Arabidopsis thaliana: one gene and its partner. Each later gene encodes a partner of the first gene's protein in a complex. Each region holds a gene or a part of one and is shown in the gene's direction. Other genes may lie near its edges.

What was found.
Region 2: AT1G54010 (region 1) and JAL22 share a complex: the UniProt entries of both Arabidopsis thaliana proteins name them as parts of the PYK10 complex.

Annotation. Positions count from the first base shown.
Region 1 is NC_003070.9:20,157,998-20,162,855, reverse strand, and holds AT1G54010 (GDSL-like Lipase/Acylhydrolase superfamily protein), read left to right. Parts: upstream 1-1,991; 5' UTR 1,992-2,108; coding exon 2,109-2,367; intron 2,368-2,658; coding exon 2,659-2,777; intron 2,778-3,131; coding exon 3,132-3,600; intron 3,601-3,688; coding exon 3,689-4,002; 3' UTR 4,003-4,267; downstream 4,268-4,858. Other genes in the region: AT1G54020 (GDSL-like Lipase/Acylhydrolase superfamily protein), read left to right, coding at 1-43, 117-317, 398-650, 756-1,051. UniProt on the Arabidopsis thaliana protein: Involved in the control of the PYK10 complex size and possibly substrate specificity. May be exported from the endoplasmic reticulum upon interaction with MVP1.
Region 2 is NC_003071.7:16,413,346-16,418,709, reverse strand, and holds JAL22 (jacalin-related lectin 22), read left to right. Parts: upstream 1-1,864; 5' UTR 1,865-1,931; intron 1,932-1,972; exon of another isoform or gene 1,973-2,379; 5' UTR 2,380-2,386; coding exon 2,387-2,587; intron 2,588-2,910; coding exon 2,911-3,372; intron 3,373-3,645; coding exon 3,646-4,104; intron 4,105-4,193; coding exon 4,194-4,448; 3' UTR 4,449-4,676; downstream 4,677-5,364. Other genes in the region: AT2G39320 (Cysteine proteinases superfamily protein), read left to right, coding at 193-219, 319-393, 539-758, 871-1,118. UniProt on the Arabidopsis thaliana protein: Inhibitor-type lectin that may regulate the correct polymerization and activation of BGLU23/PYK10 upon tissue damage.

The DNA of each region.
Region 1 (4,858 bases):
CGCCGTCGGGTCCGCTTCCATTCTTGGATCTCCAAAAGATTCTGTAAGCTCACTTAAAATATTTGTTAATCAATCGTAAAGCAATGTCATAATAAAGATTCACATTTTTTTGGTAGTTGGCTCTGAATCAACAAGTGAGGAAATTCAATCAGATGATATCAAATTGGAAAGTGGATTACATTCAGAAATCAGTGTTTATGATTAGCATTGGTATGGAAGATTACTACAACTTTACCAAAAACAATCCTAATGCTGAAGTTTCTGCTCAACAAGCTTTCGTTACTTCTGTCACTAACCGGTTTAAGAGTGATATCAACGTAAGTATTTTCATCCAAAACTAATCAAAAATTAATACGAGTTAGTGATATAGATATGTTGTTATAATGATTAATTGCAGTTGTTGTATTCATCTGGAGCTAGTAAATTCGTCGTACACTTGCTAGCGCCATTAGGTTGTTTACCGATCGCAAGACAAGAATTTAAAACCGGTAACAATTGTTACGAGAAACTCAATGATTTGGCCAAACAACACAACGCTAAAATTGGACCGATTTTGAACGAAATGGCGGAAACTAAACCGGATTTCCAATTCACCGTTTTCGATTTCTACAACGTTATTCTTCGCAGGACACAAAGAAACATGAACTACCGTGAGTTACAATTCGCCATTCAAAGTTCCACACTATCATTAATATCGTTATATGCTTTTACTTTGAAGCAAACATTTAATAATACTTGTTGTTATGACTAATTAGGGTTTTCCGTGACGAATATATCGTGTTGCGGTGTTGGGACGCATTATGCATATGGTTGTGGTTTACCTAACGTGCACTCGAAGTTATGCGAATATCAAAGATCCTACCTTTACTTCGACGCACGTCATAACACAGAGAAAGCACAAGAAGCGTTTGCTCATCTTATCTTTGGAGCTGACCCAAATGTTATCCAACCTATGAATGTTCGTGAGCTCATGGTGTATCCTGTTAATGAGCCTATGCGTGAGTTTTGGGAGGATCCAATGGATGAGAAGTTATCGTTAGTCCAATACTAGTGGATCTGTCTACCTCGTTTAGTTCTTGAGCTCACTATTTTCTATCTCTAGATCACGTACGAGCTCTTGGAATTTGTAATGTATTGTTCTTAATTAGTTGCGAAGTAAAATAATTAATACTGTTTAAATCCTCAACTCTGCTTATTTTCATAAGAAAAAAATAATCAATTAATGGGTAATTTGATAGACCTGAGAATATAACCAAAGCATATATATGACCTGCTTTGTGCTCATATTAGACAAGTTTCGGGCCATACGCACTCATTAGAACGAAATGATTGAATTTGGTGGAATCATTTAAGACTTATGGATTTCAAATTACATAACTCACTTGAGTCATTTTATTTACTTTTTTTTTTGTTTTTTTTTGCAATTCTTGTTGTAATGAAATAGTGGAAATGGTTTCAATTTTTAACTGTTCCAAAATTATTTTATAATAAGTGTTGTTTTAGGTTTTAATATAAAATTTTGGTTAAAGTTCCAAATTTTATTTATACTGTTTTAATGTGTTAACTAGAATGAATTAATCATAGTAAAACAATTTTTTTTTAGTTTGTAGTATTTAAAAAAAACGAACACTTGATCTGAAATGCATGGAGTATTTTCTTAGTTACGTTTTCATAGGTGAGAGGTTCCATTTGACATGTTTTTTTATATATTTTATTGAAATATAGGAATATGCATTTAAATCTTCTTCTGCCCTCAATGCATGATCGATCTTCTTGATACTAGTAACAATAAATGTATCTTGAAAATTAAGAATAAATAAAATAGAAATGGGATACCAGTTGTGCATTAACTAGGTGTGTAGAAAAAAGAAAAAAATGAACCTCGAGCAACACGTTATCATATATTCATATTTAAATAACAATATTTTTCAATTGCTAAATTGCTTTTTTCTTAAAAACAATCTTTTTGATAAAAAAAATTCAGTTGCCAAATTGTGTAGTATTTACAATATAAATATAACGTATCGGTCTACGAGCTAAGACACAAAAGCAATCTTCTACTCATTTACTGTTCTGTTTCACTTTCTCTCTCTCTGTATACTCTCTAAATGATGGCAAAAAACTGTAATTTAGTCAGTGTTCTATGTGTATTTTTGGTATTGACCCTCTTTAACAAACCCATCACCGTCGCCGGGCAGAATATTCCGGCGGTGGGCTTGTTCACCTTTGGTGACTCCAACTTCGACGCCGGAAACAAACAGACTCTCACCAAAACCTTACTCCCTCAAACTTTCTGGCCGTATGGAAAATCCCGAGATGATCCCAACGGCAAATTCTCCGACGGCCTCATCGCTCCAGACTTCCTCGGTGCGACATTTTTTTGTTTGTATAACTGAAAGATCTTAATCCGAATTCTACAAAACATAAAACATGCAAAATGATATTTTTTATCATTTAAAACGTTAGTACAAATGACGAGTGTTGGATATTAGTTAATTACTAAAAATAACGGTTAAAATATTTTAAAAATAAAAAAGGTTCAGCTGGTATTCACTTTTCGAAACACATGGATTTTTTTTTGATTTTTTTTCGTTAACAGATTCGGAGATTATATTTGTATTATATGAAAACCTAATATATTTAATGTACAAAATGCAGCTAAATTCATGAGGATTCCGATCGTGATCCCGCCGGCCCTTCAACCGAACGTCAATGTCTCACGTGGAGCTAGTTTCGCCGTCGCTGATGCTACTCTACTCGGAGCTCCGGTGGAATCTGTAAGTCAACTTAATTTCTTACTATAATCATCTTATTCAAAATAAATGAACCATGTCTGTCTTTTATTGACCCGGTCATACATAGCCGGTCCTTAATTTACCTTCAGGTGGCCTTAGCACAATTGGAAGATGGCCTTCTTAATGATATAAAATATATTAAAGGTTTTACCAAATTACTGTTTTTATTTTTTTTGGCGAATGATTTAGTATATATCTTCTGGTCTAAAGCATGTGCTTGACCTGTCTTATGGACTAGCCTGGATCATACTAAACGGCATATTTTTGTTTTATTAAAGACATCTGACTTTAACTGCAATTATAATTTTGTCTTTTTGTCTTTTTTTGTTTTTTTAGTTGACTCTGAATCAACAAGTGAGAAAGTTCAATCAAATGAAAGCAGCAAATTGGAATGATGATTTCGTGAAGAAGTCAGTGTTTATGATATACATTGGTGCAAACGATTACTTGAATTTCACCAAGAACAACCCTAACGCCGATGCATCTACTCAACAAGCTTTTGTCACTTCCGTGACCAACAAGTTAAAGAACGATATCAGCTTGTTGTATTCATCAGGAGCGAGTAAATTTGTGATCCAAACCCTAGCTCCATTGGGTTGCTTACCCATCGTCAGACAAGAGTTCAACACCGGGATGGATCAATGCTATGAGAAACTCAACGATTTGGCTAAACAACACAACGAAAAAATTGGACCGATGTTGAACGAATTGGCTAGAACAGCTCCTGCATCAGCTCCTTTCCAATTCACCGTCTTTGATTTCTACAACGCGATTCTTACTAGGACGCAGAGGAACCAAAACTTCCGTGAGTTGGTTAATTATCATGGTTTAATTTCATTTTTAAATTTTTTTATAACTTCTAATACCATGTGTTTAATATTTGCCATTCTTAGGATTTTTCGTTACGAACGCATCGTGCTGCGGAGTTGGGACACATGATGCTTATGGTTGCGGTTTTCCTAACGTACATTCGAGGCTATGCGAGTACCAACGGTCTTACCTATTCTTCGACGGACGTCACAACACTGAGAAGGCGCAAGAGATGTTTGGTCATCTTCTTTTTGGAGCCGATACAAATGTTATCCAACCGATGAACATCCGTGAGCTTGTCGTTTACCCTGCCGATGAACCTATGCGTGAGTCTTGGGTGCCCCCAACGTCAGCCACCGTTCAACTCAGGGAGAGCCGCGGTTACGAGTATTACTGAGTCTCTAAAATCAATATTTAGGGATCGATCGGGGTTTCTATAAGGGTTATGAGTCAAATTATAACTGGATCAATATCGGAATCTTGAGTAGTTTTAATTTCCAATGTTTTCATGTTTCTCTAGTGAGTTTTCCTCCATAATAAAAGATTGATCTCTGCAACTCTTACCCCTTGCAAATCTTTTATTTAAAAGAAACAAAACTTTTACATAAATTTATTTCTTTTTTTTGTCAACCACATATTAAAAGGTAATTCCATAATTAAAAAAAGAAGGCACAAGAAGCGTTTTCTCATCATCTTATCTTTTGGAGCGGACCCAAATGTTATCCAACCTATGAATGTTCGTGAGCTCATTGTGTATCCTGTTAATGAGCCTATGCGTGAGTTTTGGGAGGATCCAATGGATGAGAATATCATCGTTAGTCCATGACGTCGACGTCGATGCTAGTGAATCTATCTAACTCGTTTAGTTCTTGAGCTCACTATTTTCCATCTCTATACCATGAACGAGCTCTTGGAATTTGAAATGCGCTGTTATTAATTTGTTGAGATTTAAAATAATAATGTAACCTCAACTCTGTTTTTTCCATAAGAAAAATCTCAATGAGTAACGTGATAAACCTGACAATATGAACCAAAGCGTGTCCAATGACCTGCTTTGTGCTCAGATTAGACAAGTTTCGGGCCACATGCACTCCATTAGAACAAAATGATAAATTTTGGTGGAATCAATTTAAGAAGGTAGTGGATTCAATTTGAGACCTTTTTTACCCTCTTTTTTTGTTTGCAATTATTCTTGCAAGGTAATATTCGAAATGATTGGCAACAAAGAAAATAAAAAGTAGAAATTATAAAGT
Region 2 (5,364 bases), on another chromosome or scaffold:
GTCTAATACTCAGACCAAGTCGTTGTGTTTGGACGGTCTTAGTGATCGCGAAATACTTGAGTATAGGTATTGATCGATTCTTCTTGTAAACTTTGTTCCAATTATTTTTTTGCCTGATAATCTCTGACTATATATGTTATTTCTTATTCTTCCTGGATTTTCAGATTGGAATGGGAAAATTACACCGAAATCATGATGAAAAGTGATGGAAATTGCCAGGTAATTAATGTTTCTATATCAAACAATCAACTTGATATATATTTTTGATCGTATTATGAATAACCCTTTTTCATGTTTTTGTCAATAATTCTATTTCAGTTCCGTGCTTTGGCGGATCAACTTTATCAAAATTCGGATTGTCATGAACTTGTTAGACAAGAAATCGTAAAACAGGTAATATCAATCTTCAAACTTTTGATTGTTTTTTTCATACGTGTATTAATGTCATATGATGATTGATTGATTGATGACTCTCAGCTTAAAACTCATCCGAAGATTTACAAAGGGTTTGTTGATCATATGGACTTCTCCCATAAAGAACATGTCATTGTCCACTAATTCCCAATGGGGCGATGAAGTGACTTTGAGAGTGGCTGCTGATGTGTATCAAGTAAAAATAATACTCATTACATCAATCAAACTTATTCCATTTATGGAGTTTTTGCCCAAGTCTCAAAAGGAACCGGACAAAGTCATTCATATGAGCTATCTAGCTGGGATCCATTTCAACTCCATCTACAAAAAAAATAAAGAAAAAGGTTAACGTTCTCTTCCTTCTCCATTGTATATACATCTCATCTCCTTACTCTTGATTTGAGGCTTTGAGCAATATTGTATCATTCTTATTCTTCGTCTTGTTGGCTGCTTCAGGTTCACGTTCATCTTCATCATCGAGTTCTGCAGTCTGGATGAAGCTACAGAGGAAGAAGGAGAATGAGGCGAAGAAAAAGGAGGAGGAGGAGAAGGAAAGGAAGGACATGGAGAAGGAGGAGAAGAAAAAGGACAAGGAGGATAAGAAGAAGGATAAGGAGGATAAGAAGAAAGCCAAGGTGCAGAAAGAGAAGAAGGAGAAGAAGGAGAAGAAGAACAGAAATCACCACTTTCACTATTCTGAATGATTTGTTTTGATAAATTAAGTGTATCTGCATTTGACAAGTTGTATGTTATTATTGGGATCATTGTGGTTGTTTTGACTCTTTTATGTTCTTTTCGAGCTTATTCTAGTTTTGAGCCTTAGATACTGATAATCATAAAACACAACATGATAATGTGAAAGAGTCATCATGACATAACATCAGCGTCCCAAAATAACTTGACCATCGTCTCCATGGTATCCAACCGTCGATCCTCAACGACTCCAAAAAGCAAGGACATGAATATATGATGATGATAAGCCAAACTTTTGCATGAACACAGTTTATACAAAATTTAAATAACTGTTAAATTCATTTGAAACTTTAATGAATGATATTTCTGACAGTAACTTAGGAAATAAAGCTTATACACCGTTTTAGTTTGAAGATAATAATTCTAAATCTGTTTTCAAAATGTGCAGTCAAAAAGATTCTTAATACTAAATAGGAGATTTTGGTGGGAATCGCAACATTAACATCATCAAATTTGTTTTAGTTAACAATATATTGAATTTGGTTTATGCTGTTTTGATGAATTGTTTTGTTCATCTGTCGTACTTTAAAATATCTCTGCATCTAGAAAGTTGTATGCTATTATTATATATTGCACTCGTAATGGACTCTAATTATTTGTTGCATTTGTGAGGGAGTCTCTCGTGTCACACGAGTTGATTATTAAAATGATTAATTAAAGACAATCAAGAAGACCTTGTATGCCAAAGATTGTCAATAAATACACACAATTCAATACCCATAAGCTTCATCTCCTTCCATCATTCAGAGCTCAATAATTAACTGGTTATCTCTCTCCCTTCAATTTTTTTTTTTTTTTTTTTTTTTAAAGTAACTCCTAGTTTCCACTACTATGTATGTTGCTTCACAAAATGTTTTTAAAACAAGAAGTAGCTCTTTATATGTAGATATGTATTCTTGAATATATTAGATTTAACAAACACTTTTAAACCTAATTGATTGATTTATATTACACCACATCACCAATAATAGAGCTATCAACATCAAACAGTAAATATTTACCCATGATCAGTTGATTGTTCTATTTGTGTTTCTTGGATCATTTTGGTGTTTTTGCTATGTATTTGAATAGGCTATACAGTGTTATCATGGTATTTATGTATTACTAACCACAAACCAGCTTTAAAAACTATATATAAAGCTGTACATATATACTTTCGTTTTTGGATTATCTATATAAGAAGTAATTTTTGCATTTTACAATATTTTTTAGATTCGAAATGGCGAAGATGTACCGGAAGTTGGCACTCTGCGGTGGTGAGGGAGGACAAGAATGGGACGACGATGTATATGAGGGTGTAAGAAAAGTGTATGTAGGGCAAGATCTCAACCGTATCACTTACATCAAGTTTGAGTACGTGCAGGAAGACGGCGAAGTAGTAACAACTGAATATGGGACAACAAATCAGCACCCTAAAGAGGTTCTCATTGCATTTATTCTCACCCTTAATTTTTTGCGATACTAGTAAATTACTCTTGTGAATTCGGATTAACGTTGGATAAATCCTTTAAGACATAAACAAGAAGAAGCAAGTATTTCTGAGGCGGATACCCTTTAGTGACTCTCTAATTTTTTTGTATTACACTACTTGTGTAAATGAATAAGACACAAACACTAAGACAACGTTATAAAACCAAAACTCAGATACTGTATATTAGGACTAGGAAATCTTGAGAATTATCCTAAACCTATCAATATTAAATACTATAAATTTTATTGAATATATGTTACTATTACATACAGTTTGTAATTCAATACCCGGACGAACACATCATAGCAGTGGAGGGAAGTTACCACCAAGTGGCTCTCATTGCCACAGAGGTGATTACGTCCCTCGTCTTCAAGACCTCAAAGGGTAGAAAGTCTCCATTGTTTGGTCCAAACTTACTTGGAATTACGACCGGTACAAAGTTTGTTTTTGAGGATGAGGGAAAGAAGATCGTAGGGTTTCATGGACGGGCAGGTGATGCTGTCGACGCTCTTGGAGTTTACTTTGTATTGGATACCACGCCGTTCCCTCTTTACAAGCTTGATGCCCAAGGTGGTACAGACGGGCGTGTTTGGGATGATGGTTCTTACGATGGCATTAAAACGCTGCGTATTGATCAAGATAATTCTCGTATCACTTATTTAGAGGTTGAGTACGAGAAAGACGGGGAAGCAAAAACATGTAACCATGGGGGGAAAGGAGATACACCATCCGAGGTAACTTTACTAGTTCTTCTTATACACGACTAGTTCAATAATTTCTCAAAAATGTTATAAATTGTTAAACTCTATTTATATGTGATCATTAGTACAACGACATAAATTAGGTTCCAAATATCAATGATTAATTATTGTGTTTGTAGATTCTTTGCAGTAGTATGAAGTATAACTCTCACACACTCCGGTTCAAATTTTTGTAGATATAATTGACACATGTATTTAGATCTCTTAAGACAAAAAGTCTTCTTATTTTGTTGCTTCTTGTTGCAGTTTGTGCTTGGTTACCCAGATGAATACATCAAATCGGTGGAAGCAACCTATCAGAAGCCAAACATTTTTAGCAATACGGCAATTACGTCACTTAAGTTCTTAACATCAAAGGGGAGAACATCATTCTTTGGGTATAATGTGGGTAAGAAGTTTGTGTTGGAGCAAAAGGGTCATAGGCTTGTCGGGTTCCATGGAAAGGAAGATGCAGCTATTGATGCTCTTGGAGCATATTTTGGACCTGTTCCTACTCCTACTCCCTTGATTCCATCTAAGAAACTACCAGCGATAGGCGGCAACGAAGGAGTTACATGGGATGATGGTGTCTACGACGGTGTAAGGAAGATACTTGTAGGACAAGGTAACGATGGTGTATCCTTTGTCAAATTTGAGTACAGTAAGGGCAAAGACCTTGTACCCGGAGATGACCATGGGAAGAAGACATTACTCGGAGCTGAAGAGGTCATTTAAAAACAACAATTTTTTTTTTTTTTTTTCAATTCATTCTAGATTATTTACACTTATCCTTTGTTGGTTTTGAATCTTTGCAGTTTGTGCTTGAAGATGGTGAATATCTCATGAACATAGATGGCTACTACGATAAGATCTTCGGAGTTGAGGAACCAATAATTGTATGTCTTCAGTTTAAGACCAACAAAAGGGAGTCAATGCCGTTTGGAATGGATTCTGGTAAGAAGTTCTCGCTTGGAGAGGAAGGCCACAAGATCGTTGGATTCCATGGACAAGCTAGTGATGTTGTTCACAGCATCGGAGTCACTATCGTGCCCATCACCACCACCGAGTGAAAACCAGTTAGTCATATATACTACATGAAACTTCCAATAAGATTGGAGTGTGTGTGTGTGTGTGTTCTCTTTACTATGTTACTTTTAATACGTGGTTGTAAGTTCAAGTAACTTACTGTGTGCTAATAATTCCAATAAGATTGGCTTGTGATTTCTTGTTATTTACTGCCAAAAAATTAATCTGGTTCTAAAAATCTACATGCCTATTAATTTCAATAAATCCCCTAATCAATTCTAGTTATTTTATTAGTTAGCATAAATAGAAAAAAAATACCACATTATTATTACAAATCACTAAGATTTATTAGTCCACATTATATTTTACTGATAATTATCAAAGCATGGTACTATTTAAAACCTCAAACAAGTTAGCAATTAAAAATCTCACAGAGACTGATTATCTTATTTGTTTTAATTAAGAGAAAGGCAAAAACAAAATTGAGTAATGCTTGCTTACCAAAATATACAGCTAAAAAAGACAATTTTAGGCCCACAATAAAAAACAATCAAAAAGGCCCGCTCCTTCAAAAAGATTTAAAAAGTGAACGGACTCAATTTCCCATATTACCCTTCATTGCTACTCGAATTTACGGAGAAACCCTGTTTCTCTGTCCTTACGCCTTTCTCTCTCCGTTACACTGCCGCCGTAACGCTTTCTTCCTTCTTGTAAAAAAAGTCTCTCCGTTTAACTAAACGCCGTAAAAAAACTCAGCTTTGATAATATCGGTTTTGATTTTTGATTGAGTTTCCCTCCATATCTCCTCGATTTCCGATTTTGAGGAATCAATCTCTCTGTTTATACGGTAAACTTCATAACTCCATCGATTTTTTGGTTTCTCTATTTTGAATTTCAAACAAAAAAACTGTTACTGATCCATATTTGTATTTGATTGATCGTAAATCCTCTGAAAATTTT